Linked DNA regions of Stegostoma tigrinum. The protein of the gene in region 2 binds, or shares a complex with, the protein of the main gene of each other region. Links are inferred from orthologs where the notes say so. Each region holds a gene or a part of one and is shown on either strand. Other genes may lie near its edges.

Region 1 (9,538 bases), on a different chromosome or scaffold from region 2:
ACCCGGGTTCAATCCCGGCCTTGGGCAACTGTCTGTGTGGAGTTTGCACATTGTCCCCATGTCTGCATGGGTTTCCTCTGGGTGCTCCAAGGTGCAGACTAGGTGGATTGGCTGTGGGAAATCCAGAGTAATAGGGATAGGGTAGTGGGTGGGATGCCCTTTGGAGGGTCAGTGCAAACTCTATAGGCCAAATTTGTTCACTATTGCTAACGGCCTGCTTCCACATCGTAGGGATTCTATGATTTCCTGCCTCCTGTCCAATAGTTCTCCCTCGAACAACACAAGTTATTTAGCTGTGAACTTTTCTGTACCTCTCACATAATGGCTATTTCAAAAGTAGCTAATTAGTTGCAAAGCACCAAGGAAATGAGACACCACATAAATGCATTTATAATAACAGTACTGCACTTGCTGTCAAAGTTGAAATCCATACCTAGTGCGCTTTAAAGTTAATGGAATGGGATTTATGAACCAGTATCGCTTAGGTTGAAATGTGGGGGATTGTATTAGATCTTCCAAACAAGGAACCAATTCAAATTAAGAGTGCAATCCTCAGGAACATGATGCAATTACTGATAATTGTGTGTAAGAGTAGGTTTACTGAGCAGCTATGACTTACCTTTAATCACAGGTACTCCATCTCTGTCAGATACCACAATGGCATGAAGGCCCTCAACACTGTAAAAAAATTATGCAGAAATTATTCACGCTGCATCTCTACACTGGCACTGGAATTCAAAATAGCGCAAGCACTGAAATTACACGGAAGTTTTCTGTTGTAAGATTGTAATGAGAACACCCACAGTACTGAGAATCCAATTTCACAATAATGTTGAGCATTAACAAAAAAAATTCTTTAAATATTTTAACATTTCCTTGGCTTCCTGAAGCTCTTTGAAAATTCAGCAAAACCCACATATCCCAGAAGCCAACATCTCCATGGAAGTTGTGGCACAGGTAGACAGGGTGGGAAAAGCAGCATTTGGCACGCTTGCCTTCATTGCCCAGACCAATGAATCCAGTAATTGGGGCATTATTTTGCGGTTGTACAGGATGTTGGAGAACTGTGTACATTTCTGGTTACCTGCTCTCGGAAGGATATTACTAAAGTGAAGATGGTTCAGAAAAGATTTACCAGGATATTATCAGGAATGGAGGGTTTGAGTTTGGAGGTTGGATAGGCTGGGATTCTTTTCACTGGAATCTAGGAGCCTGTGGGGGGGACTTTATAAAAGCTTATAAAATCACGAGAGGTATAGATAAGGTGAATAGTAAAAGCCTATTCCCCAGGGTAGGGGAGTTCAAAAGTAGGGGGCATAATTTTAAGGTGAGAAGGGAAAGATTTAAAAGGCACCCAAAAGGTAACATTTTCACACAGGGCGGTTTGTATGTGGAACAAACTGCCTGAGGAAGAGGTTTATGCAGGTACAGTTACAACATTTAAAAGATATTTGTACAAGTTGAGGGGGATTTGGGCCAAATGCAGGCAAATCTGACTAGTTTAGTTTGGGAAAAATTGGTCGGCATGGATGAGTTAGTCTGAAGGTCTGTTTCTGTGCTGTATGACTCATCTGAACACAATTATTGTTCAGATTTGTTCACTATTCATCTCTTGCAAACATCATGTAATTTCTTATTTCATGCAATACCTGTGTATAAAACATTTTTACATCCTGTCTATTAAGTCTGATTTTAGATCTAAAATGGCTGTGCAGAATTATGCCATGTATTCATGTCAATGTGATAACAATCAATTTCCATTCCTTATAAATTAATCGGTTACAAATTCACAGCCATTATGTCAAACACGCACTCACCATGGGAGATCCTAATTGTAGCGGTACAGCTAGTAAGGAAACAATATATATACTCCATACTGCAATAGCTACACAGCAATTTAAGGCTGTCATATTTAAAAGAGATTACATTTACACAGAGCTTGTCCGCATTAAAGCAGTGTCACTTTTAATACCATTCTCTGAATCCATACCTTCAACATATTTATTTTTGCTTATGCTAACAAAATTAAACAGCTCACATTTCAACAAATGGTATTTATTCATCAAACTGACGTAACAAAATAATGGCACACCACCATTAGTGGAGTCTACATTTTGGATAAATGTCACCCATGTACCATCTTTAGGAATTACACATTAAAAATGAAGTTTCTTTAGAACAATAGCAGCAAGTGCGTTAGGAACAATAAGAAAAAAACTTTTACAATGAAGTCTTGAAGACCTAAAACTAAACAAAAGTTTGAACAACTTACTGAATCAGACACTGCTTTAGAATGTCAACTGACCAGCTCAAATCTTCAAAGACGCATTGACTGTTGCCACAGAAAATAACCTGGGCTAACTTGCATCAAATAGACATGTCTTATCTACCTCGTAACCGTACTGCTACCCTTTTAGATTGCAAAGTGCAGCTTCTGTTATGAGACCAACCCTCTAAGATTCTTGATTGATATACATTAGCTGCAAAACCAAGAATTAAGGTCAAGATGGTGACAGACTAGTCTTTCAACTGAGCTTATAAAGCAAGATTACCATAAATAAAATAGGACAGAGCCAGAGAACTAATCGTGGCCTGAGTTTGAAGGCAAACTCAGCAACTGCCACACAATGCCCCATTGTGTTTGTTTAACATTGATATCTACACGGCACATTCACCACACTTGATCATTGGTTTAGAGACATCTCCAAGCTGGCTTTCCAACAATAGTAACCCATCGGCACTTGCAGATGAAACAACGTCTAGCATATTACAACTTGAAGTGGGAGATAGTGAGGAAATTGCCAAATGCCACTTAACAGACATATGTTTGGAAGCAACTATCAATACTGTCGCAGGCTTACTGCGGTGTTCCAGCAAAGCTCAACACAAACTGGAAGAACACCACCCTATGGACTCTATATCAAATTCAACAATTTTAAGGTCTGAACTGGGTGGCATGGTGGCTCAGTGGTTAGCACTGCAGCCTCACAGCGCCAGGGACCCAGGTTCGATTCCAGCCTCAGATAACTGTCTGTGCGGAGTTTGCACGTTCTCCCCGTGTCTGCGTGGGTTTCCTCTGGGTGCTCCAGTTTCCTCCCACAGTCCAAAGACGTGCAGATTAGGTGGATTGGCCATGCTAAATTGCCCGTAGTGTTCAGGGGTGTGGGGGTTATAGGGGGATGAGTTTGGGTGGGATGCTCCAAAGGGCAGTGTAGACTTGTTGGGCCGAAGGGCCTGTTTCCACACTGTAGGGAATCTAATCTAAGAAAAAGAAGCTCTCCCAGGTCCTAGCCCCATAGCCTGCCATTACACACTACCTGTTGTTAGTCACGAACAGTCCCCATTAACAGCTATTCACCCTCCCAGCCTGACTGTTATCAACTCCTTTGTCTGTTCAACTGTTCTAGTGTCTTTGAGCTCTATCCCCAACTATCAAATGCTCCTTTCCACATACGCTGTTCTGCACATAAACCGACACTTTCCTAGCTACTATCAGTTCTGACGAAGGGTCACTGGGCCCAATGCGTTAACTCTGATTTCTCTCCACAGATGCTGCCAGGCCTGCTGAGGTTTTCCAGCAACTTCTGTTTTTGTTTCAGAGTTACAGCATCTGCAGTTCTTTTGCTATTTATTGATATTGAAAAGATATTTGCTATTCAACCAGAAATAATATTACAGACTTGTAGGAAAGAGGAGATTAGAAGATAAAAGGAAGAGTGAAAAATCTGCGATTAAGAAATATACAGTGTAATAGTAGAGGAATTACTGTGTATTTTGGACATAAAGTTACTAGTCTAAACTTATCTAAAGAAGAGAGTCAGAAATTGAAACAGATTGAAGAGGAGGAAGGGTTATTTTACATTCTCACCTAGGCAACTGTTTGTAAAGATATCTCTTCAAATCCTGTAGAAAAGACACACATTAGAAGAATGCAGTAAAAATGTAGAATTATACTGCACATTTTCAACTTGAATATGAATTGAAGTTCAAACCTTTAACTGCGCCAGTAACAGTTGGCAGTTAGAACTGCCATGAAGTTATTTTTAATTAATTGTTTAAAAATGTCAACTGCATCCAAATTTAATTCAAGCCAGTCTCAACTGGTTACAGTTATTTAACACTCACCTTCACGCATGAAGTATTCAACAGCAAGATCCTATATACACAAAATAATACCTTCCTCTTTCAAAGGCTGTGCTGAAAGGAGGCTAAGAGGAAAGACTCACACCCACATTAAACTTTCACATGTTCAATAAATAAATTTCAACCTCGCATTATGGGTATCAGGCCCAATAGTCGCATGCACACTGTAGAAAACTCTGCTCAAAGCAAGCTTAAATAGACCAACAGAAGATGACAGCCTAATATTTTAATTTTTGAATAATTAGGAAATAAAACAAGAGAACGTCTTGCTCATGGGATCCACAGATGCTATTCACTACATTTTTAGATGCAAACAGAACCTTGTCTACGAAACTGGCTGCATGACTTACTGTAGTATCATATTTACTGTACTAGTCAGCTTAATTATTAGAAGGCATTTTCCATATGCTGTTCAAACTTACTACAATATAGGTAGCCTAACAGTATACGCAATTTTTTCGTAATTAAGAAAGGATTACTTACATCTGCCATCTTTCTTTAAAATGTTGCAGAGAAAACTCAATTCTGAAACAAAACCATAAAACCTGTGTTAAACGGGGCTTTATCTTTTGATACTTACTAAAATAAGCAAAGGCATGCTCAATTTAATATGCTAATTAAACATGCTATAACAGAGCATGTGGAGTGAAGGAATGTAAAATTTTTAATATCAGAAAAATCGGAATATTTAGTTCTGAACAACAGAATATATTCTGCATCCAATGGTTTGATGTTGCTGCTGAATTTCCCACATGCTTCAGCCACCATATTCACCATTCAAATCCCTGCTTCCTGAACGCATTTTACTAAAGACACATACAACTAGGGGAGCTTTCACTTCATTTTGCACTAATACACTTTTCAGTCCTAAAGTTATTCAGCTAACAGAATGACAGTTTCAAAAGTGCTCCTGAGATGCTGCTTGGCCCGCTGTGCTCATCCAGCTCCACACTTTGTTATCTCAGATTCTCCAGCATCTGCAGTTCGCATTCTCTCTGATACAATTACTCCAAATAGTTTTCTAAAATCTACAATGTGCAACTGTATGAAAGTGACCAACTCCTAGGGCAACAAAGAATTTGCCGAGCATGCAATGTCCCTGGATATTGAAGAACAATCATACAGTACAGAAGAGGCCATTTGGCCCATCATGTCTGTCCTGCTAGAAATATACTACCTACACTTTCCTGCACAAGATCCATAACCTTAAAGTGTTTGACACTTCAAACTCCCATCTAATTTCTTTTTAAAAAGGTTGAGGCTTCCCACCTTAACTATCCTCTCAGGCAGTGCATTCTAGACACCCTTTGGGTGAAAAAGCTTTTCCTCAAATCCCCTCTGAACATCGAGCCTTACATGTTAAATTTATGCATCTCCCCACCCAGTTATTAACCCTTCAAATGAGGGGAACAGCTGCTTTCTACCCACTCTGTCCATGCTCCTTATAATCTTATACACCTCTATAATGTTTCCCCCAGCATTCCCCCCCCCGCAACTTTCTCTGCTCCAAAGGAAACAACCAGAGTTCATTTCGCCTCTCTTCACAGCTGAAGTGCTCCCTTCCAGGCAACATGCTGGTGCATCTCCTTTGTACCTGTTCTAGCATAAATACATCCTACGAGGTGACCAGAACTGCAGCTATGGCCTATCAAAAATTCTGAACAGCTCCAACTTGAACACCCCCCACTGTTATAATCTATGCCACCACTGATAAGAAAACGATAACATAAACTGCTTTTGAGAAATATGTTACCAAGCCATTGAATTCTTAAAATGATAAAACCCAAACACATTTTGTAAAAGAACCTCTTTCTCTTTCTCCATCAGAATAGAAATCCCCTGATCTGAAACTAATTTCTAAATTCTTATTCCTCAAGAGTTGCCTGACCTGAGGGTAAAGACTGTATTTTGACTTTGTCTCATTCAAAAGATATACCTCCGACAGTGCAGCACTCCGTTCGCACTGCATTGGGACTGTCTGTCAATCACAAGCTCAAGACTTGAGTGGAATCGGAATTGCAGTCAAATCAACTTTTAACCTTTTCTACTTGAAGAAATTCCCCAGCTTCTCCATCATGAAGTCTATCATGCTTAACACCAAGTTTCACATTACTGATGTCGTGGTGCTGGATGTCTTAAGGCAGATGAATCCCCAGAACCTGATTCGGTGTGTACACCAGAACTCTGCTGCCATCAATAGCTGTGGGTGAGCTAACGTGGTGTCAATATTTAAGATTAGCTCCAAGGAAAAGCCAGGGAACTACTGACCGGCGAGCCTGATGTCAGTGGTAGGTGCGCTGTTGGAGGGGAATCTGAGGAACAGGATTTACGTATGTTTGGAAAGGCAAGGACCAATTTGGGATAGCCAACATGTCTGCGCGAGGGAAATCATGTCTCACTAACTTGCCTGAGCTTTTTTTTGAAGTGGCAAAGACTGATGAAGGCAGAATAACGTAGGCAACATTTGATACACCTGCCTTTATTGGTCAGTACATTGAGTATGGAGTTGGGAGGTCATGTTGCGGCTGTACAAGACATTGGTTCGACCATTTAGAATACTTTGTTCAACTCTGGTCTCCCTACTACAGGAAGGATGTTGCGAAACTTGAAAGGGTTCAGAGAGATTTAGAAGGACATAGCTGGGGTTGGAAGCTTTGAGCTCTAGGGGAAGGCTGAATAGAGTGGGATTATTTTCCCTGGACTGAGGGTGACCTTATAGAGGTTTATAAAATTGTAAGGGTATGGATAGGGTGAACAGCCAAGGTATTTTGCCCAGGTTAGGGGAGTCCAAAACTAGAGGGTATAGGTTTAAGGTGAAGTGGGAAAGATTTAAGGACAACCTAAAGGGCAAAGTTTCCGTGTAGAGGATGATGCACACATGGAATGAGCTGCCAGAGGAAGTGGTGGAGGCTGGTACCATTAAACATTTAAAAGGCATCTGGATGGATACATGAATAGGAACGGTTTAGAAGGATATGGGCCAAATGCTGGCACGTGGAACTAGATTAGTGTAGGTTATCTAGTTGGCACAGACCAGCTGAACCAAACAGGCTATTTCCATGCTGTACAACTCTATGACGTCTGTAATTCCAAAACTTTAGCACCCTTTCTAAAAGTATATTACCTAGGATTGGGACTTTTTAAAAATGTTTAGTGTTTCTACCAATTGCCTCTTTGCACGGTCAAACTTTGAATGTACTTTGGCTGCACTTGCTCTTCCACTCAATGATATATGTACTCCCTCCAAGGTGTCACTGTTCCTTCCAAAAAAATTTAACAGTTGTTGAAATTGTACTAGCTTTATATTGCCATTCTACAGTCATAGAGCTGTACAGCATGGAAACAGACTTCTGTTCAAATCACCCAGGGCAAACAGATACCCCGAATTCATCTCGTCCCAATTCCAGCATTTAGCCTATCTCTCTCTAACCCTCCCTATTCATACACCCATCCAGATGCCTTTTAAATACTGTCATTATCCCAGCCTCCACCACTTCCTCTGGCAGCTCATTCCACACACTCACAGCCTTAAGGTCCCTTTTAAATCTTTCCCTTATCACCTTAATCCTACACCCTCTAGTTTTGGACTCCTCTACCCCAGGGAAAAGACCTTGGCTATTCACCATAACAGGGCCCCGCATTGTTTTACAAACCCCTATAAAAAGGTCACTCCCAGGAAAGTAGTCCCCCTTTGTTAAATTTTAGTTGTCACTGTCTACTCATTTTATAGGTCTTTGTCTTTCTGCAGTCCATTACTGCTTCATTTTTTTGATTTCCTGACTTTGGACTTTTGACATTTCAGTACAATTTCAAAGATTGTCAAAGACATTAATACTTACCAAATACACAAACCTGAAAGCTAAAACTAAAGCTGTAGAGAATGGTGGGAAAACTGCTTTTAATTCCTTTCTTTGGGGGAATCTCCATCACTGTGGTGGTCTGACAGTGAAGATGAAGCGAAAGCAAAAGCAACACATCTCACTATCTCAAACATCTCACAGGATGGCTGTTTTTTTCTGCTGAGTGGGTCAGCAACATTTAAAAATCACTGGTGAGTGGGGAAGAGGAGAAAGTTACTACATTTGGAGATTTGTTGGAAGAACAGGATACTTGAAAGAATGGCCTCAGGATGTCTCCCAAAATTTTTCAGCACCTAACATACTTTTGAAGTCTCGCTATTGTAACGTACACAGTTAAAAGTCACAGAATCAAAACTCAGCACAAAAGTCCACTTAATATCAGAGATAATTGGAACTGCAGATGCTGGAGAATCCAAAACAACAAAGTATGGGGCAGGGTGAACACAGCAGGCCAAGCAGCATCTTAAGAGCACAAAAGCTGACGTTTCAGGCCTAGACCCTTCTTCAGAAAAAAAGGTTTATTTTTTATCCCCCTGAAGAAGGGTCTAGGCCCAAAACGTCAGCTTTTGTGCTCCTAAGATGCTGCTTGGCCTGTGTTCACCCAGCTTCACACTTTGTTATCTACAAAAGTCCATTTGCCTGGCCATACCAACTGCTTTTGTATGGAGTAATTGCATTTCCCTACATGTTCCCCACAATAGGAGACACTTATTCTCCAATTATCCAACTTTCTCTGAAAGCATGACAGAGCCTATCTCCAACATCCTCAATCAGGACATTGCTGTTTAGATTACAAGTACTTGTGGAGCAACAAAGATAATGTAACAGAGCAGACAACTTCTTGACAGCAAACTCGACAAACATCTGTACAACAACGACTGAAGTAAGTCCTCACACAGTGATGCGAATTTGATAGTGAACAATCAGGACGATACTGCTGAGACCTCTGCTGCTCCTCTTCCAAATATTATTCCCAGAGAAAGGGTTGGGTGGGTGGCTCATCCAAAAGACAGCACCTCTAACAGTTCAGCACACCCTAGGAGCAGCACTGCTCAAGAACTGAAGCCAAGGTCAGGTTGGGGGGGGGGGGGGGAGGGGGTTGGGGAGGGGGGGGTTGGGGAGGGGGGGGTTGGGGGTTGGGGAGGGGGGGGTTGGGGAGGGGGGGGGTTGGGGAGGGGGGGGTTGGGGAGGGGGGGGTTGGGGAGGGGGGGGTTGGGGAGGGGGGGGTTGGGGAGGGGGGGGGAGAGGGGAGGGGGGGGAGAGGGGAGGGGGGGGAGAGGGGAGGGGGGGGAGAGGGGAGGGGGGGGAGAGGGGAGGGGGGGGAGAGGGGAGGGGGGGGAGAGGGGAGGGGGGGGAGAGGGGAGGGGGGGAGAGGGGAGGGGAGGGGGGGAGAGGAGGGGAGGGGGGGGGAGAGGGGAGGGGGGGGAGAGGGGAGGGGGGGAGAGGGGAGGGGGGGGAGAGGGGAGGGGGGGGAGAGGGGAGGGGGGGGAGAGGGGAGAGGGGGGGGAGAGGGAGAGGGGGGGAGAGGGGAGGGG
Region 2 (10,386 bases):
TGGGCCGCTCCAAATTGATGCTGGAAGGCTAGTGATGGGAGATAAGGAAATAGCTGAAGAACTTAAGTACTTTGCGTCAGAATTCACAGTGGAAGACATGAGTAGTATGCCAACAATTAGGGAGAGCCAGGGGGCAGAGTTGGGTACAGTAGGCATTACAAAAGAGAAAATGCTAGAAAAGCTAAAAGGTCTAAAAATTGATAAATCTCCTGGCCCCGATGGGCTACATCCTAGAGTTCTGAGGGAGGTGGCTGAGGAAATAGCAGAGGCTTTGGATGTGATCTTTCAAAAGTCACTGGAGTCAGGGAAAGTCCCAGATGATTGGAAAATTGCTGTTGTAACCCCCTTGTTTAAGAAAGGATCAAGGCAAAAGATGGAAAATTATAGGCCGATTAGCCTAACCTCGGTAGTTGGTAAAATTCTAGAATCCACTGCTAAGGATGAGATTTCTAAATTCCTGGAAGTGCAGTGTCAGATTAGAACAAGTCAGCATGGATTTAGTAAGGGGAGGTCGTGCCTGACAAACCTGTTAGAATTCTTTGAAGAGGTAACAAGTATGTTAGACCAGGGAAACCCACGTTATCTATCTAGACTTCCAAAAGGCCTTTGATACAGTGCCTCACGGGAGGCTGCTGAGCAAGGTGAGGGCCCGTGGTGTTCAAGGTGAGCTACCGGCTTGGATTGAGGATTGGCTGTCTGACAGAAGGCAGAGTGTTGGGGATAAAAGGCTCTTGAATGGAATGGCAACCGGTGACGAGTGTTGTCCCGCAGGGTTCAGTGTTGGGGCCGCAGCTGTTCACCTTATACATTAATGATCTGGATGAAGGGACTGGGGGCATTCTGGCGAAGTTTGCTGATGATACGAAGATAGGTGGACAGGCAGGTAGTACTGAGGAGGTGGGGAGGCTGCAGAAAGATTTAGACAGTTTAGGACAGTGGTCCAGGAAATGGCTGATGAAATTCAATGTGAGTAAATGCGAGGTTTTGCACTTTGGAAAAAAGAATACAGGCATGGACTATTTTCTAAACGGTGAGAAAATTCACAAAGCACAAGTACAAAGGGATCTGGGAGTGTTGGTCCAGGATTCTCTAAAGGTTAACTTGCAGGTAGAGTCCGTGATTAAGAAAGCGACTATAATGTTGTCGTTTATCTCAAGAGGGTTGGAATATAAAAGCAGCGATGTGCTTCTCAGGCTTTGTAAGGCTCTAGTTAGGCCCCATTTAGAATACTGTGTCCAATTTTGGGCCCCACACCTCAGGAAGGACATACTAGCCCTGGTGCGTGTCCAACAGAGATTCACACGGATGATCCCTGGAATGGTAGGTTTAACATATGATGAACGGCTAAGGATCCTGGGATTGTACTCATTAGAGTTTGGAAGGTTGAGGGGAGATCTAATAGAACTTACAAGATAATGTATGGTTTAGAAGGGGTGGACGCTAGGAAGTTGTTTCCGTTAGGCGGGGAGACTAGGACCCATGGGCACAGCCTTAAAATTAGAGGGGGTAAATTTAAAACTGAAATGAGACGACATTTCTTCAGCCAGAGTGTGGTGGGCTTGTGGAATTCATTGCCACGGAGTGCAGTGGAGGCCGGGACATTGGATGCCTTCAAGGCAGAGATCGACAAATTCTTGATCTCAGAAGGAATCAAGGGCTACGGGGAGAGTGCAGGGAAGTGGAGTTGAAATGCCCATCAGCCATGATTTAAATGGTGGAGTGGACTTGACGGGCCGAATGGTCTTACTTCCACTCCTGTGTCTTATGAGAAGAGATTGATTAGACTGGGACTGTACTTATTGGAATTTAAAAGAACGAGGGGGATCTGACAGAAACGTATAAAGTTATGAAGGGAATAGATGACATAGAAGTGGGGAGGTTGTTTCCACTGGGCAGGTGAAACTAGAACGTGTGGGGCATGGTCTCAAAATAATGGGGGAAGCAGATTTAGGACTGAGGTCAGGAGCAACTTCTTCACCCAAAGGGTTGTGAATCTGTGGAATTCCCTGCCCAGAGAAGTAGTTGAGGGTACATGGTTGAATGTTTTTAAGGCAAAAATTAAGAGTTTTAAACAGTAAAGGAATTAAGCGTTATGGTGAGCGGGCAAGTAAGTCCACGAAAAGATCAGCCATGATTTTAATCGAATGGCAGGGCAGGTTTGAGGGGCCTGACGGCCCAGTCCTGCTCCTGTTTCTTATAACTTTATTTACTGGGATAGTGTCGGGAAATCGGTTGAGGTGGAGATTCAGCCAAGATTGAGGTGAATAGCAGTGCTTGATGCCATTCAGCCCATTCTCCTGCTCCTGCTCCTATATTTCCTCACATTCTCTGTCAGATGGAGACCGAGAGAGACTGGGAAAAGGACGAGCGATGTAGGAAAGGAAAGGAAAGGAAACTTTCTTTCGTAAAAACGCAGCAAGTTGTTGGGATTGGGAACGTGGTACCTGGCAGCGTCGCGGCTTTCAAAGAGGACAGGGCAAATAATGCAGGTTCACGGGGAAAAAGACAAGGGAGGGGAGGTGTCTGGGCAAGACCCAGCACAGATGCAATGGGCTGAAAGGCCTCTTTCTATGTTGTAACTGTTTCAGAGTTCGATAAAACATCTCATGGTGCTTCATAACGCTTTATAAAGCGCTGTCTTTCACCAAGCTAACAGAGGGGATGTTAACCGAATGACCAAAAGAGTGGTCAAAGAGTTGAGGGAACATTTAGAAGTCATCGCCAATCTCACAGTCTTTCAGTCTGTAGTCTTGCAGGTTGTGCTGCTTCAGGTGTACATTCTAGTATCTCTTAGAAACGTGATGAGGCTTTCTGCCTAGACCAGCCTAACAGACAGCAGTTTACAGATTCTCACCACATAGTAGGTTAAACAAAAAAAATTCCTCATCAACTGCTGTCACATCTTTCTCCCAACCCCTGGAAATCTACACCTGCTATTGTTCTCTCTGACACAGGTAGTCCCATGTCCAAATGCTTGCTACAGCAACATAGACTGGAGCTGCAGGTTAGGACTGTGCAAAAATCCCAGATGCACCTGGCTCTGTGGGAATTGCCTAGAAAACCAGATTTTCCCAATTTGGAACCCTTTGAAAGAGCTCACTGAAGAAGTCAGAAGGTTGAGATTTACTCAAGGTTAAAAAAGTTACCCAGGATTTGATTTTAAGAACTAGGAGGATTAAAAATCTGTTCCAATTCCTGCTAACAGCTATTAAAAACTTAAACCTAACTCATCACTGACCAAACTTAGGTCTCCCCACCCCACAGCCCATGCAAAAGAGAAAACATTCTATCTGGATGCATCACAGCTCTGCCCAAGACCGCAAAAGAAAAATGACAGAGTTGTGAACACAGTCCAGTCCATCACACAAGGCAGCCTTCCATCCATTGACTCCATCCACACATTCCAATTCCTCGGGAGAGCAACCCACATAATGACCCCTCCCACTCTGGTTATACTCTCTTCCATCAGGCAGAAGATAGAACAAATTTTGTACGAACAGATTTAAAAGAACAGCTTCTTCCCCACTGTTATCAGACTTAAGACCTCTCCAATATTTGAGTTGATCTTTCTCCACACTCTCCATGTCATTTGCACCGCATGGAATCGTTGAAGAAGGGCCCCGACCCGAAACGTCAGCTTGGCCTGCAGTGTCCATCCAGCTCCACACCGTGTTATCTCAAATTCTCCAGCATCAGCAATTCCTACTATCTCCGCACTCTTACCTGTACACTAATCCCACCCCAATCCAACCTCACACCTACTCTGAGGCAGGAACTTTCAGAGATTGGCACCTGCTGAATGTATAAGTCAACAACAGAAGGCCACACACTGAACACTGCAGACAAAAAGAAAGTGGGTGGGAAGGTGAGAAAGGAGGGTGGTGGCATACCCTAAGATTTTAGGATTATAGGAAACAAGGGAGGGGGGTGGGGCAGGCCATTCGGCCCCTCGGCCCCTCAAGCCTGGATTCATGGACTGTTTGGTGCCAGAAATAGCGCCCCAACTTGTCCACAGGAATCTCCAGGGCAGACGCCATCTCAAGAATGGAAGTATCTCGCCTCTTCAGCTGCCTCCCTCCCTCGTTTGTAAACAGTTGACTATCGCCCACCCAAAGCGTGCAAGCAAATGCTGAATATCATCAGCGCGTTCAATGCAATGCAAACGATTCCATGCGGTGCAAATGACAAATTGCAATGTTTGAATTCAAGCGGTTTGGGTTATTTTTAGACCAGGGCCCGTCCTAGTTTTAAAACAGGGGGAAATGGCCAATGGCCGTGACCTGTGACCTCCCGGGCCCAGTCACCCGGGGAATGACAGGTGACAGGCGGTTAACGGCTTCCAGCCACCCCCGGGAGAAAGTGTACACCACGAATCGGGTGGATGTTGTGTGTGTTTTTTTTTAAACCACCCCGCTACCCAACAAGCTCGTACTCACCATCGAGACAGAGCCCGGGCACGTCTTCAGCCTCCGCCCGTCGGTTAAAGCCCGCGTCACATGACACTCAGATTCCCACACCCCCACCGTTCCTCGTTCGCTTATGCCGGGAGTCGACGGTTTCTGATTGGTCTGTTCCTCTGTCAGTCAACCAAATTATCATATACGACCCACCGCGACCTGGGTGATTGGACGGCTTCGCTACGCCGTTCATTTCGATTGGTCAGCATAGCCATCTATCATCACTGAGCCGGCGTCCCACCCACACCACGTACAGTCCCACATGACCTGGGTACAACCCCCAAATCTGTCCGTCACAGGCGATTGGACAGTATCGACCATCCTAACCGCTGATTGATCGACACAGCCGTCCATCATCTGTCAAATAACCCGCCTACTTCTCGTCCCCGTCCTTTGGACTGTAGGTCTCCTCTATTGGTCCATGGTTCCGGCTATCACCGTCTCCTATGATCCAACGTCACGCCGCTTCCGTATATCACATGACATGCAGCCGCCAGCGCTCTCGTCATTGATTGAACGGAACTCGTCCTCCTCCCCGCCTTCTGATCTCGCGCGCCCTTCCCACTTCGCGCATGTCCCCGCCCTCCTCGTCCCCAACCGCTAGCCGCGAGGGCGTTCCACCCCCCTTCCCACCTCCGCTATCCTCCAAGCCAATTGGTCAAAAGGCCCCTGTGGCCGTCCGTTTGGTTGGATGGGACGTCAATCAGAGCGTTGCCTTCGTCCGATTGGTGAATACCGATAGGCCCGCAACACTCTGGTTGGACCGTCCGGCCGTCAGTCTCCCTTCGGTCGGCCCCGCCCTCCTGATGTGATCGGCTTGAGTTCCCTCAGTCTCTTCCATGACATCCATTTAGATTTATTTCTCTTGATTAATTTTGTCGTCGTGAAGTAATTTGCTCCACGGCAAGGTACAGGGACAAATCAACCGAATAACCCATGGGATCACCGGTATCAGGGTGAATAGCGGAAGCCGTAAGGCGTCGAGTGGAGCGGACGACCATCCAAAACCATGTGTGGACGACACCTTTGTCGTTATTAAACGCTCTAAACTGGAGGAAAACCCATAAACAACATCCTCGCCGGCATATAATTCACCAAGGAGGAGGAGCAGAACAATAACAGAACCCCCTTCCCAGGCACAGTGGTCAACCGTCAGGCCAACGGCGAACCCCAGGCCAATGGACACAGGAAGGTCACCGGCACAGACAGGGCCCTCAAGTACAGTAGCAATCGTCCCCAAAGTGCCCACAAACAGGGCCGCATCAAAAACCCCGTTCAAAGCCAGCCGCAAGAAACACACCCTGGGGCTGCGCAAAGCCGAGGAAGAACGCCTACACAAGCCATCCGAAAAGCGTTGATACCTACTTCTTCCTACCAGTTCTGTCGTGAGGCAGAAACTCACGTCGCATTTGAAATAAAATCCTTCTGGGTGCACACTTGAAGTGGTACAAGTTACGTGGCTGCGGAGAACACAGGGAGACACGAAGGGTAGGGGGACAGGAAAGAGCGAGAACAGGGCACTGGGTGATCATAAGGAACGGCACAGCAGACTTGACGGGTCAAATAGCCTACCCTTGCTCCTATTTTCTTTCCGTCTAACATAGTTGTGATTTCTAATCATGATCTCAAGCCCAAGACTTTTCAGCAGGAGTCCCTTCGTGCAGCCTGGAAAGCATCATTTGCAGTCCCTTTGTTAACGAAACAGTGCATGCATGAATGCATTCCTAAGACACACTCTTTCCCTTAATGCAGAAAAAGACACCATCTATGTTTGGCCTGATAAGCGACAAATTACATTCATGTCCTGTAAGTTTTCAGGCTGATTCTACCAATTGAGCTCATAACCAAGAGAGATAGTAAGAATTGCTGATGCTGGAGATAACACAGTGTGGAGCTGGAGGAGCACAGCAGGCCAGGCAGCCTCAGAAGTGCAGGAAAACTGACATTTCAGATCAGGACCCCTTTCTTGAAATACCCCATTTCTGAAGAAGGGTCCCGACCCAAAATGTCAGCTTTCCTGCTCCTCTGATGCTGCCTGGCCTGCTTTGTTCCCCCAGAATCACACTAAATCATAACCAATACTGTCTTAGCCCATTCTCCACCCCACCCCAACCCCTTCCACTCATAATGTTTAAATGGCACTACTATTATTTACTGGAAAGAAACTGTGATTACCCTGCACAAGAAACTTTGCTGCATCAGGCAGATATGTGATGTGGCTGCTAGACTGGATCAGGTGTGGTAATTTGCAGGTTCAGCTACTGACCTGCCAATGCACAAGACAAAAATGGAGTGAAGTATCATTTTCTCTAGAGAGAGGTGCTTCTGTACAAGCTCTCTTATCAGCACCAGCAGCCTGCTGATTAACACTCATTAAGCATCGACATCCTCCACCACTGCAATGTGTGTATACCATCTACAATATGCACTTCAGGCAACTCGCCAAAACTCAGCAGTAGCTAGAATACTTTCATGACTTGGGCTGTGACATTTCAAAAAGACAGGCACAAACAAGAGTTTTACTGAGCAGACTGATTCCATATGGCCCATCATCTGTGTGCCAACCAAGATGGATCACCCAGCCTAATTTCTCTTACCAGCCCTGTCAGCATAGCTGTGTAGCGTATAGCGCTTCAAGTGCGCATCCAAAAAGATTTTATTTTAAATGCAAAGTGAATTTATGCCTCACTACAGAACTTTTAGATGGAGAGTTCCATATCCACACTTTTCTGGGTAAATATCTTCTCAACTCTTCTCCAATCTAACAAATTGCTACAGCTCTGGATTCTTGACAGGTCTGCTAAGGGAAGTAGGCCCTTTTTTTATTATGTCTCTTTCCTTTTATCTCCCAATCTCCACTGTTCTCCCCTCTTTGGTTGCCTTGGGGTCACATCCTTCTGCAAGAGGCAGGGCCCTGTGTAGCACCAGGCCCATGACCCATTCCAGCTCGGATATGCCGCATGAGCAGTGGCAGAAGATGTGCCCAGAACCAGGACCTCAGCAGCACTCAGATATGGTGGAGAAGCCCATTACCAAGACCCCAGCCAATGTTAAAGTAGCAGGAACTGTAGGAGCAGCTGAGAAAGAGAAAGAAGAAGGAGAGCCAAATGAGAAGATGAACAGCTGAACCTAAAAATACCAAAGCTATTGCAGTAAAAGCATGCAATGCAAACAGATCCGAGATGGCACTGCAGAGTGGTGACATGTTGTGGATAACTTGCAAAACAACACTTTCCACTGTAGGTAAGTGTGACAATATTAAATAAATCTAAATAATGTTATGCACCTCAATTAAATCAACTCTCAGCCTCTTCTGTCCAAAGAAAACAAGTGCATAAAAGCAAGGATATGGTTAAAACTATCCAGCAATTTAACTGTAGATATCAATCAGTGAGTTGTTTTTATGTTCATATTTAATGTATCAACTTTAACACAGTATGTAATGCTTATATATTATTTCTATATACGTAAGAATACTTCTTGTGTTCATCCAGTCTTTCCTCAAATAAATTCTTCATTTCTGGCAGCATATTCGTAACTCTTCTCTGTACCTCACCCTCAGTAATCAGACTGCCACCACTTTGAGGGCAATTATGGGTGGACATGCTTGTCTACAACATCCCAACAATTGTAGTTAAATTGTAGCTGTGAGTTATTTTTGTAACAGAAGGAATGCGTTAAGCAAACAGGACAGAAAGAGGAGCTAGAGAGATAGTCGGAACTGCAGATGCTGGAGAATCTGAGATAACAAGGTGTAGAGCTGGATGAACACAGCAGGCCAAGCAGCATCAGAGGAGCAGGAAGGCTGACGTTTCAGGCCTAGACCCTTCTTCAGAAAAGCATTTCTGAAGAAGGGTCGAGGCCCGAAATGTCAGCCTTCCTGCTCCTCTGATGCTGCTTGGCCTGCTGTGTTCATCCAGCTCTACACCTTGTTGTCTCAGAAAAAGGAGCTAATCAGGACACAAATTAACGCATAACAAACTTTATTGAATATGTTCACGTGTTGTAGGATAATACAATAAGAGTTCAGAAATATGACAATTGATTCTTTCCACTTACTGCAATCTATCCTAATTTAATCATTGTTTCTAGTCTGGCTACTTCAACTACAATCTAAGAAATATATTTAAAGCAAACTGTAGCCACTCAGACAACATTGACCAGTACATTATCCCTCCCTAGATTGGCAACTGTCTCTTTTGTAGGAGACTAGACAGTTCAGTTCACTGGCATTCTTCATGCAACCTTGAAATTCTTTGCTTCGTGATTTTGTAATTCATTAACTCATTTAATCCTGAGTAACGATGAGAATCCTCATGTAAAACTGGAGTTAATACTTTTAATGGTATTAAAAGTGGACGTGTGACCATCCTGTGTTTCTAACTATTTCAGTTCTTTTACCCTAAACATATTGTATGTTTTCTCAATTTCTGCTCTTACAGTTTCCTTTTTTATATTTTTCCAGTCTACAGGAATGTCAGCTTTTTTGGCCTTGTAAGCTTCTGAAAACTCTGTATTAAAAGTAGACAGGACGTATTTCCAGTAGGCTGATGCTTGGATACTTGTGTCAGGTGGAATATTCCAGGAAGCAAAATAATCATTTACGCTGCGGTAGCCTTTGTATGGATGGAACTCATATTGTGTTGCTGCACAGCGGAATGAAGCATCGGATGCTATTGCAGAATTACACACTGTCGCCACCAGCTTTTTGCTGGTAATATGGCGAAACCTATTTAGTCCCTCAGGCCGATGTGTTGCAGCAAAATGCTCCTTGTGTCCCGAGCCTCCTTGTTCACAAGACACTCCGCAGAACCGGCACATCTTCCCGCAGCCAAGAACTTGACGGAAGATCTCTTCATCCAGCTGCACTGGCAGACGTGGCAGAATTTCTTCGATGTTGCAATTCTTGTGAAAGTCTGATATGAGTTTCTGCTCGACATCATCCAGGGCTGCAGTGACATCAGCTGCAAACTCGCTGGCTGTGTTAGCATTCTGAAAGAGTACAATTTGCAAATTCCCCTTGTTAATCACAAAATCATTCTTCAAAATATCACAAAATTCTGTTAAAAATTCTGATACGCTCTCCTTCACTGTCACAATTGATTCTTTCCACTTACTGCTTGTTTTATGGCATCTTTTATCTTTTGTATAAGTGCTCGGATTATTTTTGCGACGATCTCCATAATTTTAGTTGCTTCTCTGTAATTCTTTATTATTCTTTTCCTGATCCACTGTCTTGCAAAATCCTCATAGTCTTCAATGTATTATGTGTAATTTTCCACACAGTGCTCTTCCAGCAAGTCCAGTAGAATCACAGCTTGGAGATAAGCTCTGCTGCTCATTTCGTGGTTTGTGCAGCTGGCTTTTACGCCCTCAACAATCTCCACACCAAGCTTTTTGTCAATGGCATTGTGAAGATCTGGCAGAAGGCAGTCGCTCCACAGAGCTGGAGCCCTTTTCTGACTCTGATCTTTCTCGTTGTAAATATCTTTAAAAGTGGAATAGTAGGCAATCTTCATTTCTTCCAGACGAGCCAGTGGATCATTCTCTCTGAAGAAATCTTGGTGCATCTTTTGGAAAATTGGCAGAACACGACCACACATATGCAACTTTAGATCCACCTCAAAGGTATTAATCATGCGAAAGTTGCCATATTTCCCAAGGAGTAAATTATCATCAGTTTGTCTCAGCAATGTATGACAGTAAGTTTGATCAAAGTCAACTTTTGCTTTAAGCTTTTCCTCAGCAAACTGCTCAGCGTTTCTAATTAAATTATCTGCAAACTTCTGCAGTTCATTGTTAGATCCATTTGTAAAAAAATTGTCTTTAAATCTTTGGTAAAAGCTCCTTTCAATATGATCCTCGGTAACTTTAAATAAGACCTTTCCTTTGTCAGATAGTCTCCCAGCTATACATAATCTTTGGCACA
Region 3 (10,069 bases), on a different chromosome or scaffold from region 2:
GACACCCTCATCCGCCTAGCCGAACTCGTCCTCACCCTCAACCACTTCTCTTTTGACTCCTCCCACTTCCTACAGACTAAGGGGGTGGCCATGGGCACCCGCATGGGCCCCAGCTATGCCTGCCTCTTTGTAGGTTACGTGGAACAGTCCCTCTTCCGCACCTACACAGGCCCCAAACCCAACCTCTTCCTCCGGTACATTGATGACTGTATCGGCGCCGCCTCTTGCTCCCCAGAGGAGCTCGAACAGTTCATCCACTTCACCAACACCTTCCACCACAACCTTCAGTTCACCTGGGCCATCTCCAGCACATCCCTCACCTTCCTGGACCTCTCAGTCTCCATCTCAGGCAACCAGCTTGTAACTGATGTCCATTTCAAGCCCACCGACTCCCACAGCAACCTAGAATACACCTCCTCCCACCCACCCTCCTGCAAAAATTCCATGCCCTATTCCCAATTCCTCCGCCTCCGCCGCATCTGCTCCCACGACAAGACATTCCACTCCCGTACATCCCAGATGTCCAAGTTCTTCAAGGACCGCAACTTTCCCCCCACAGTGATCGAGAACGCCCTCGACCGCGTCTCCCACATTTCCCGCAACACGTCCCTCACACCCCGCCCCCGCCACAACCGCCCAAAGAGGATCCCCCTCGTTCTCACACACCACCCCACCAACCTCTGGATACAACGCATCATCCTCCGACACTTCCGCCATCTACAATCTGACCCCACCACCCAAGACATTTTTCCATCCCCACCCCTGTCTGCTTTCCGGAGAGACCACTCTCTCCGTGACTCCCTTGTTCGCTCCACACTGCCCTCCAACCCCACCACACCCGGCACCTTCCCCTGCAACCGCAGGAAATGCTCCACTTGCCCCCACACCTCCCCCCTCCGCCTATCCCAGGCCCCAAGATGATATTCCACATTAAGCAGAGGTTCACCTGCACACCTGCCAATGTGGTATACTGCATCCACTGTACCCAGTGTGGCTTCCTCTACATTGGGGAAACCAAGCGGAGGCTTGGAGACCGCTTTGCAGAACACCTCCGCTCAGTTCGCAACAAACTACTGCACCTCCCAGTCGCAAACCATTTCCACTCCCCCTCCCATTCTTTAGATGACATGTCCATCATGGGCCTCCTGCAGTGCCACAATGATGCCACCCGAAGGTTGCAGGAACAGCAACTCATATTCCGCCTGGGAACCCTGCAGCCTAATGGTATCAATGTGGACTTCACCAGTTTCAAAATCTCCCCTTCCCCCACTGCATCCCTAAACCAGCCCAGTTCGTCCCCTCCCCCCACTGCACCACACAACCAGCCCAGCTCTTCCCCTCCACCCACTGCATCCCAAAACCAGTCCAACCTGTCTCTGCCTCCCTAACCTGTTCTTCCTCTCACCCATCCCTTCCTCCCACCCCAAGCCGCACCCCCATCTACCTACTAACCTCATCCCATCTCCTTGACCTGTCCGTCTTCCCTGGACTGACCTATCCCCTCCCTACCTCCCCACCTACACTCTCTCCACCTATCTTCTTTTCTCTCCATCTTCGGTCCGCCTCCCCCTCTCTCCCTATTTATTCTAGAACCCTCACCCCATCCCCCCCTCTCTGATGAAGGCTCTAGGCCCGAAACATCAGCCTTCCTGCTCCTCTGATGCTGCTTGGCCTGCTGTATTCATCCAGCTCTACGCCTTGTTATCTCAGATTCTCCAGTATCTGCAGTTCCTACTCTCTCTAATATGGATGTGTTGTCCCAGTCAGATTTGTCTTCTTCTTTGTCTGTGAAGTATGAGACAAGTGAGAATAGGTCGTGTCTCTTGGTGGCTAGTTGGTGTTCATATCTCCTTAATATCAGTTTTCTTCCAGTTTAGCCAATGTAATGCTTTTCACAGTCATGGTTTTTTGTATGTTATGTTAGTTTTATTGGTTGTCAGTACGGGGTCCTTTATGTTCGTCAGTAGCTGTCGCAGGGTGGTTGCTGGTTTGTGAGTTACCCTGGTACCTAGGGGTCTGAGTCCACATCATTCAGAACCCTCAAAGATTTCACCCGAGGTCAGATGCAGGTTAAATGCAGCAACAAGAAACAATGTTAAAAACATTCATCAGATGAGAGAAAGAGAAAATGAGAGTTGATATTTCTTCTCTCTGAGGGTAGTGAATTTGTGGAATACTTTCTTGCAGAGGGTTGTTGAGGCTGGGTCATTCAGTACGTTCAAGGCTGAGATAGACAGATTTTTAATCAGTAAGAGATTTGAGGGTTATGGGGAAGCGCGAGAATGTGGATTTGAGGATTATCAGATCAGCCACAATCTCAGTGAATGGTACAGCAAATCCAATGGACTGAATGGCCTATTTCTGCTCCTACATCTTATGATCTTATCATAAATCATAGAATCCCTTCAGTGTGGAAACAGGAAATGCTGTGGACTGACCAACAACACTTACATCCTGTGTAGAGCAAAGAAAAATTCTATCTGTCACTTATAGAACATAGAACATAGAAAAGTACAGCACAGTACAGGCTCTTCGGCCCACCATGTTGTGCCATGGAATAATCCTAATCCCAAAATAAAATAACCTAACCTACATTCCCCTCAATTCACTGCTGTCCATGTGCATGTCCAGCAGTCGCTTAAATGTCACTAATGACTCTGCTTCCACGACTACCACTGGTAAACTATTCCATGCGCTCACAACTCTCTGGGTGAAGAACCTCCCTCTGACGTCTCCTCTACACCTTCCTCCTAATACCTTAAAACTATGACCCCTCGTGGCAGTCAATCCTGCTCTGTGCAAAAGTCTCTGGCTACCGAATCTATCTATGCCTCTCATTACCTTGTACACCTGCCCAATCTGCAAACCTCTCTCTCCTCCTCATCTCTGTCATAAATGTGTGACCTTTGGCAGTATAGACTTGAAGAGCCGAAGGTCCTGTACTGTCTGATTCTATAACTCCTTAAACTGACATGCACCCACCACTTAATCATGTTGCTGGAGCCACACATAGGCCAAACTGGGAAAGGCAGACCACATCTTGAAAGGACATTCGTGAACCAACTGGAATTTTATGACCATTGATAATAGTTCCATGAACACCATCACTAGTCAAGATTCCAGATTTATTAATTGTTCATTTAATGGTGCAGGCACGATGGGCTGAATGGCCTCCTTCCATGCCAATAACAATTCTGTGATCCTGTGTCTGCCTGAGTCGAGACGTAGCCTCATCACTGTCTTGGCAACATTGATAGATTATGAAGTTTTCAATCAACAAATTAATTTTAAACAGCAATTAAAAAAAGTGATACTTGAACAGGTGAGTTTTGAGAAGATTTGTAGCTCAGGTTGAGTTTCTGGATATGAGTTTGCTCGCTGAGCTGGAAGGTTCGTTTTCAGACGTTTCGTCACCATTCTAGGTAACATCATCGGTGAGCCTCCGACGAAGCCTTTGTCGGAGGCTCACTGATGATGTTACCTAGAATGGTGACGAAACGTCTGAAAACTAACATTCCAGCTCAGCGAGCAAACTCACATCCAGAACTTGAACAGGCCTTTGGAGACCACCACAAGCTGTCATTTACAACAACTTGTTATTTTGACTGTCCACCCAAGAAGCAACTGCAAGAAATGAGTTCTGGAACCAAGAGCTTATGCTGCAGCTGTACAAAACTCTGGTGCGGCTGTACTTGGAATATTGTGTACAGTTCTGGTCACCGCATTATAGGAAGGATGTGGAAGCTTTGGAAAGGGTGCAGAGGAGATTTACTAGGATGTTGCCTGGTATGGAGGGAAGGTCTTACGAGGAAAGGCTGAGGGACTTGAGGCTGTTTTCATTAGAGAGAAGAAGGTTGAGAGGTGACTTAATTGAGACATATAAAATAATCAGAGGGTTAGATAGGGTGGATAGGGAGAGCCTTTTTCCTTGGATGGTGATGGCGAGCACGAGGGGGCATAGCTTTAAATTGAGGGGTGAAAGATATAGGACAGATGTCAGAGGTAGTTTTTTTACTCAGAGAGTAGTAAGGGAATGGAACGCTTTGCCTGCAATGGTAGTAGATTCACCAACTTTAGGTACATTTAAGTCGTCACTGGACAAGCATATGGACGTACATGGAATAGTGTAGGTTAGATGGGCTTCAGATCAGTATGACAGGTCGGCACAACATTGAGGGCCGAAGGGCCTGTACTGTGCAGTAATGTTCTACGTAACTTTACAAAATAAGAGCGCATGGTATTGGGAATGACATATTCTCATGGATAGAGGATCAGTTAATGAACAGGAAAAAAAGATGGCTGGATTTTCACTATAATGGGATCTTGGCATTTTTCCACATGGGCATTTTGCAAAGCTAACAATCCTGAGAAATCAGTAACTGTCCATGTCCCTGTGTGAGTTAGCGAACAGTGTCTAAAGCACAAAGTGCTGAGATGTGACCAAGCAGGAGCAGGTCTGAATTTTATGAGTTTGTTTGGATAGCTAGAGAACCCTCTTACAGTCGAATGATGTTGATTGTTGGGGAAAACCAATCTGGTTCCCTCATGTCCTTTAGGGAAGGAAACTGCCATCCTCACCTAGTCTGGCTAACATGTGACTCCAAACCCACAGCAACGTGGCTGATTCTTGACTGTCCTCATGAGGGGAGTGGATAAAAAAAAGGATCAACTGATGAAAAACTGCTGGAACTGTCTACAACGAAGAGAAGGTTGAGAGATTTGATCAAGATCTTCAGATCACATAGAATCCAGGGAGAACTAGCCATTTGGAAACAAAATTGTCCTGAAGGTAAGTGACAGAGGGTAGTGGTGGAGGGCCGCTTTTCGCACTGAAGCCTTGTGTAACCCCTATGCCTCTGTCCAAGTCTTTTTGATCTGTATGTACATCCTTGCTTACCATGATCTGCCTGTACCACTGGTAAACAAAGCTTTTCACTGTAATTCAGCACACGTAACAAACAATCAATCAGCATCCAGAGGTTTTCACATGGGAATGGGATCATTATCTGAACAGGAAGAAGCTGCAGGAATCACTCATGGGGAGAGATAGCACAGACACAATGGGCCGAATAGGCAACTAGGCTTGAACTCTGACCCCAACTGAGGATCAATTTACGAGAAAATGGCACAGGATGATTGACAGACCAACCGGATCTGATGTCATAGAGGGGCGGTTCCCATTATGATCGACAGACCAAAACGGTTGAGAATTGAGGGGCTAGCGATGATTGACAGTCTGCGGCGGAGATGACGTCGGCAGTTGGGCGCTCGTCCGGGTGATTGACAGTTCGGGTCGGATGTGACGCAATGGTTGCTAGGCCCGATCATGTGATGGTGTAAATAGGGAGCCCGCGGCCTGCGCTCCTCTGGTTCCCACCATGGGCTGTTGTTATAGCAGTGAGGGCGACAGCAGTGAACAGGTGAGGATCACCCTTCAGTATAATCCCCGCGTCCGCCTTCTCCTTAAAACACCCGGCAAAATCACCTGGAAACTCATTGAGTCCCTTCAGGGCTGGTGTGGTGCAGCCTGACCCCTCCTTTTGGCCTGGGGGGTGTGGTGGTGTGTGGGGTTAATCCCCCCTCCCCCTGCATTATCCTGGATTGGAGGGTTGGTGTGCGGGGTTAACCCCCCCGCCACCCCTTTGCCATTATCCTGGATTGGAGGGTTGGTGTGCGGGGTTAACCCCCCCGCCACCCCTTTGCCATTATCCTGGATTGGAGGGGTTGGTGTGTGGGGTTAACCACACACCAGTTAAAATGATTTTAACTCCCCCTCCCATTCTCTTGACGACATGCCCATCATCGGCCTCCTGCAGTGCCACAATGATGCTACCCGAAGGTTGCAGGAACAGCAACTCATATTCCGCTTGGGAACCCTGCAGCCCAATGGTATCAATGTGGACTTCACCAGCTTCAAAATATCCCCTCCCCCCACCGCATCCCAAAACCAGCCCAGTTATTCCGCTCCCCCCCCAGTGCATCCCAAAGCCAGCCCAGCTTGTCCCCGCCTCTCTAACCTGTTCTTCCTCTCACCTATCCCTCCCACCTCAAGCCGCACCTCCATTTTGTACTTACTAACCTCATCCCGCCTCCTTGACTTGTCTGTATTCCCTGGACTGACCTATCCCTTCCTTACTTCCCCACCTATACTCTCCTCTCCACCTATCTTCTTTTCTCCATCTTCGGTCTGCCTCCCCCTCTCTCCCTATTTATTCCAGTTCCGTCTCCCCATCCCCCTCTCTGAAGAAGGGTCTAGGCCTGAAACGTCAGCTTTTGTGCTCCTGAGATGCTGCTTGGCCTGCTGTGTTCATCCAGCTCCACACTTTGTAATCTTGGATTCTCCAGCATCTGTAGTTCCCATTCCCATTATCTCAAATCAGCTCATTGTTGCCTTGCAGAGCTGATGTCACTCACTTATTATACTCTAATTCTGCTGAACAAGAGTTTCAAATTCTTGTCTTGGACATCTACAGTTCCCAAAACCAGGATGTGGTGTGATTTACTTGTTTCAGTGAAACTAAAGAAAGATTGCCTAATGCTAGAATATATTGTTCGGCCAGGTGGTGATTGGCTAGCACAAACAGGATGGGCCGGATGGCCTTTTTCTGTCCTGTCAACTGTCTATGACTAAGCAGTTTTTGTATTTCTGTGACACAAATGAAGCATTTCCTCCAAGGTAGTCACCATTGCAAGATAAGAAATGAGACCAGATTTGTGTATGCTAAGATTCCTCACGAGAATTTCATTATGGCCAGAAAACTTTTTTTATTGTGCTTGGTCCTTGGTTTAACATTTCACCTAAAAGGTGGTGTTACTGAATGCATCACTCTCTGATTACTGCTCTTGGGTCATTGACTGATTTTATATTCAATGATGTGGAGAGGGACTGGAAGCACATTCTTCTGACAGAAGGTAGGACACTATCCATGGAGTCATAACTGGCCTTGTTGAGAAACCCAACAAAAAGTAGGAATTCCACCAAGTTCGGAACAGGCTTGAAGTGGTGAAGCCCGAGGAAAACTTATTCATATCCTTGTTCATAATTTACTGATCTCAAGCAGGTACAGCAAGTAATTATGACAATAATAGTATGTTCACCTTTTATAACAAGATTATTAGATTACAGGAGTCAAGATGCCTGCCTTGCTTTAATTGTATAGAGCTATGATGAGACTTTACCTTAACTGTTCATGTACAGTTTTTCTCTCCTTATTGAAGGAAGGATGCACACAGGGGGAGTGCAGTGGAGAGTCACAGGATAGATTGCTAAGATGTTGAGATTGTCCTGTGAGGAGAGTTTGAGGAGACTGAGTATGCTGTGGAGTTTAGAAGAATGAAAGGTGAAACTTAGAAAATCCTTTTTATAAGGATGAACAGAATAGATGTAAAAAAAGTTTCTCTCTACTCTAGGGTGTAATCCAGGGGAAAGTATCTCCGACTAAGGGACAGGTCACTGAGAATGGAGGGATGGGCAATGAATGCTGTCCCAACGAACAATGCCCACAGAATAAGTGAATAAAATGATTAAATGCACAAATTGATAGATTTCTAAATATTAAAGATGTTGCAGATGATATGTAATTTGCAGGAAAATGGTGTTGGTGTAGTGAATCAGCCATGATCTCGACAAATAATGGAGCAAACTTTAAAAGCTTCATGACCAATCTACCTATTTTATCTATTCTTAATCATTAGAAAGGTTATAGTACAGAGTCCATTCGGTCATTTGTGTCTATACCTTCTCCCTGGAAGAAGATATTAGTCTGTGGGACTCCACCATCTTTTCCCCATAGCACTGTAAACCTTGCCCCTTCAAGTGCACATCTGGTCGTCCTATGAAAAACGTGATTGAATCTGTCTCCACTATACTGTGTCTCCCAGATCCTAACCACTTCTTGTGTAAGAAAGCTTTCTTTCATACACATTAGGAGCTGATTGTGGGCAACTTGGCTTCTTGAAGCTATTTCACTGTTTGCTTTCTCATAAATTCCATCATTATCCTCCACAATTTGGTGTTTGCAAGGTTTGAATCATACGCAGTATTTGAAATTTTGCTCAAGGCAGCGAAGTCAACAACTCTAAATGTGTCAAAAGCAGTAGTTGGGGACTGACCCTGGGAATTCCCACCATGAGCCACTTTCCAAGACACAATAGAACTGTTCACCGTTAAACCCTCTTTGCTGTCACTCAGCTGAACTTGTATCTATTTTTCTGTGATAACATGTGGTGGTAGAGGAATACAGCATCACAGGAGCAGGAAAGCTGACGTTTTGGGTTGAGACCCTTCTTCCGAAATGGCAGAGAGGGAAGCGAGCTGGGAAGTAAATAGAGAGGAAGGGTTGGAGTGAGGTAGGGGAAGGTAGGTGGGCTGGTGATAGGTGAGTGCAGGTAGGCAGTGGTGGAGATTGGTCAGTGAGCTGGGAGGAGGAGCAGATAGGTGGCAGAGAAGACGAAGGTTGTGTCAGGTCAAGGAGGCAGGGATGTGAGGGAGGGTTGGTAATGGGATGCGGCCGGAGTGTGGGGAAATTTTAAACTGGTAAAAGCCATGTTTAGGCCATTGGGCTATGGGCTGCTGAGGTGGAATGAGGTGCTGCTCCTCCAGGTTGTGGGTGGTGTCATTGTGACGCTGGAGGAAGCCCAGGATGGACATGTTGTCCAGGGGGTGGGAGGGGGTGTTTGTGGTTCGAGACTGGAATGTGTTGTCGTTTCTCGCGAACAGAGCGCAGGTGCTGTACAAAGTGGTCTCTGAGCCTCTGCTTGGTCTCACCAATGTAGAGGAGGCCACATACCGTCTTCCATTTATCTGTGGCCTGTTTTATTCCATGGGCATCAACTTTGCTGACCAGCCTGTGTTTTGTAGCACTCATTGAAATTCCTTTTTGAAGTCTGTGTAGCTGTTGACCCTGTTTGTCACCTCTTTAAAACCTCAAATAAGTCAATGCACAATAAAATCAAAATTGCTGGAAATGCTCATTGGGGCTGGCAGCATCTCTGGAGGAAGAGTTGATGTTTTATCAGAACAAAACTCAATTTGCCTTTGACAAATTCTGCCAGCATTCCTAATTTATCCACAGTGTCCTGAATGTGTTAATTTTGTGCTGGATTATTGTTTCTCATAGCTTTCCCACCTCCAGTGTTAAGATAACTGACCAGTAATTGCAGGACTTCCCTTTAAGTCCCTTCTTGAGCAAGGGTGTAGCATTTACAGTTCCTCAGTCCTTTGGCAACACCCCTGTATCTAGAGGGGTGGAAGATTATTGCAACTGTCTGCAATTTCCTTTATTTCTCTCCTTGATTGTGGACATACCTCGTCCTGGTAAATGACTTCTAATACTTCCTCTTCATCAATTTTAGCTTGTTTTGTCACAACTGTCTTCTCTTTTTTTCATTCTTACTCTCTGGCAGCATTTATTTTCCTTTGTAAACAATGACAAGTGACCTACCTATGCCCTTGAACTTCATCACTAAATTTTTGGTCACCCTTTCAGTCTTCATGAGCCTGTCCCTCTTGTTTTTGTTAGCTGCTAGTCTTGTGTTAACTCTCTGCTTCAAAGATGTAAAAAGGGAGACAGAGACCAAAGGCGCCTTTTGGAGAATAAGCCTGGGGAAATAATGCAGGTGGGGGTCGGTCTCTTGTTAAAATTAAATAAGCCATTAGCCAAGGCAGCTAGAATGAGAGGATTTTAAGCCCCTTCTATAAAGATAGTATACTGACATAGTCCAGCAAATGTTTGCTACATTGATATCAGGTTTGGAAGGACTGTCCTGTGAGGAGAGGTTGAGTGGATTGAGTCTTTACTCGCTGGAGTTTAAACGAATGAAAGGTGACCTTACTGAATCATGCATGATTCTTGGAGGACTTGACAGATTAGATGTGGAGAGGTTGTTTCTCCCCTGTGGGACCAGTGGGCATTATCTCAGAATAAGGAGTTGGTCTTTTAAGTGGGCGCTGAAAAGGAATTTCTTGAGGGCAGTAAATATGTGAAAATCTTTACCACAGAGGGTTGTTGAGGCTGGGTGGTTAATTATATTCAAGGCTGAGACAGATTTGTAATCGGTAAGGGAATCG

Evidence for each region.
Region 1: lamtor4 (region 2) and lamtor3 share a complex: the UniProt entries of both Homo sapiens proteins name them as parts of the ragulator complex. The link is inferred for Stegostoma tigrinum from reciprocal best matches to the Homo sapiens genes LAMTOR4 and LAMTOR3.
Region 3: lamtor4 (region 2) and lamtor1 share a complex: the UniProt entries of both Homo sapiens proteins name them as parts of the ragulator complex. The link is inferred for Stegostoma tigrinum from reciprocal best matches to the Homo sapiens genes LAMTOR4 and LAMTOR1.

Annotation. Positions count from the first base shown.
Region 1 is NC_081354.1:4,149,953-4,159,490, reverse strand, and holds the start of lamtor3 (ragulator complex protein LAMTOR3), read right to left. Parts: upstream 4,671-9,538; 5' UTR 4,636-4,670; coding exon 4,627-4,635; intron 3,904-4,626; coding exon 3,869-3,903; intron 679-3,868; coding exon 620-678; intron 1-619. UniProt on the Homo sapiens protein: As part of the Ragulator complex it is involved in amino acid sensing and activation of mTORC1, a signaling complex promoting cell growth in response to growth factors, energy levels, and amino acids.
Region 2 is NC_081398.1:4,438,302-4,448,687, forward strand, and holds the start of lamtor4 (ragulator complex protein LAMTOR4), read right to left. Parts: upstream 4,566-10,386; 5' UTR 4,440-4,565; coding exon 4,437-4,439; intron 1-4,436. UniProt on the Homo sapiens protein: As part of the Ragulator complex it is involved in amino acid sensing and activation of mTORC1, a signaling complex promoting cell growth in response to growth factors, energy levels, and amino acids.
Region 3 is NC_081359.1:110,906,927-110,916,995, forward strand, and holds the start of lamtor1 (ragulator complex protein LAMTOR1), read left to right. Parts: upstream 1-5,284; 5' UTR 5,285-5,378; coding exon 5,379-5,420; intron 5,421-10,069. UniProt on the Homo sapiens protein: Key component of the Ragulator complex, a multiprotein complex involved in amino acid sensing and activation of mTORC1, a signaling complex promoting cell growth in response to growth factors, energy levels, and amino acids.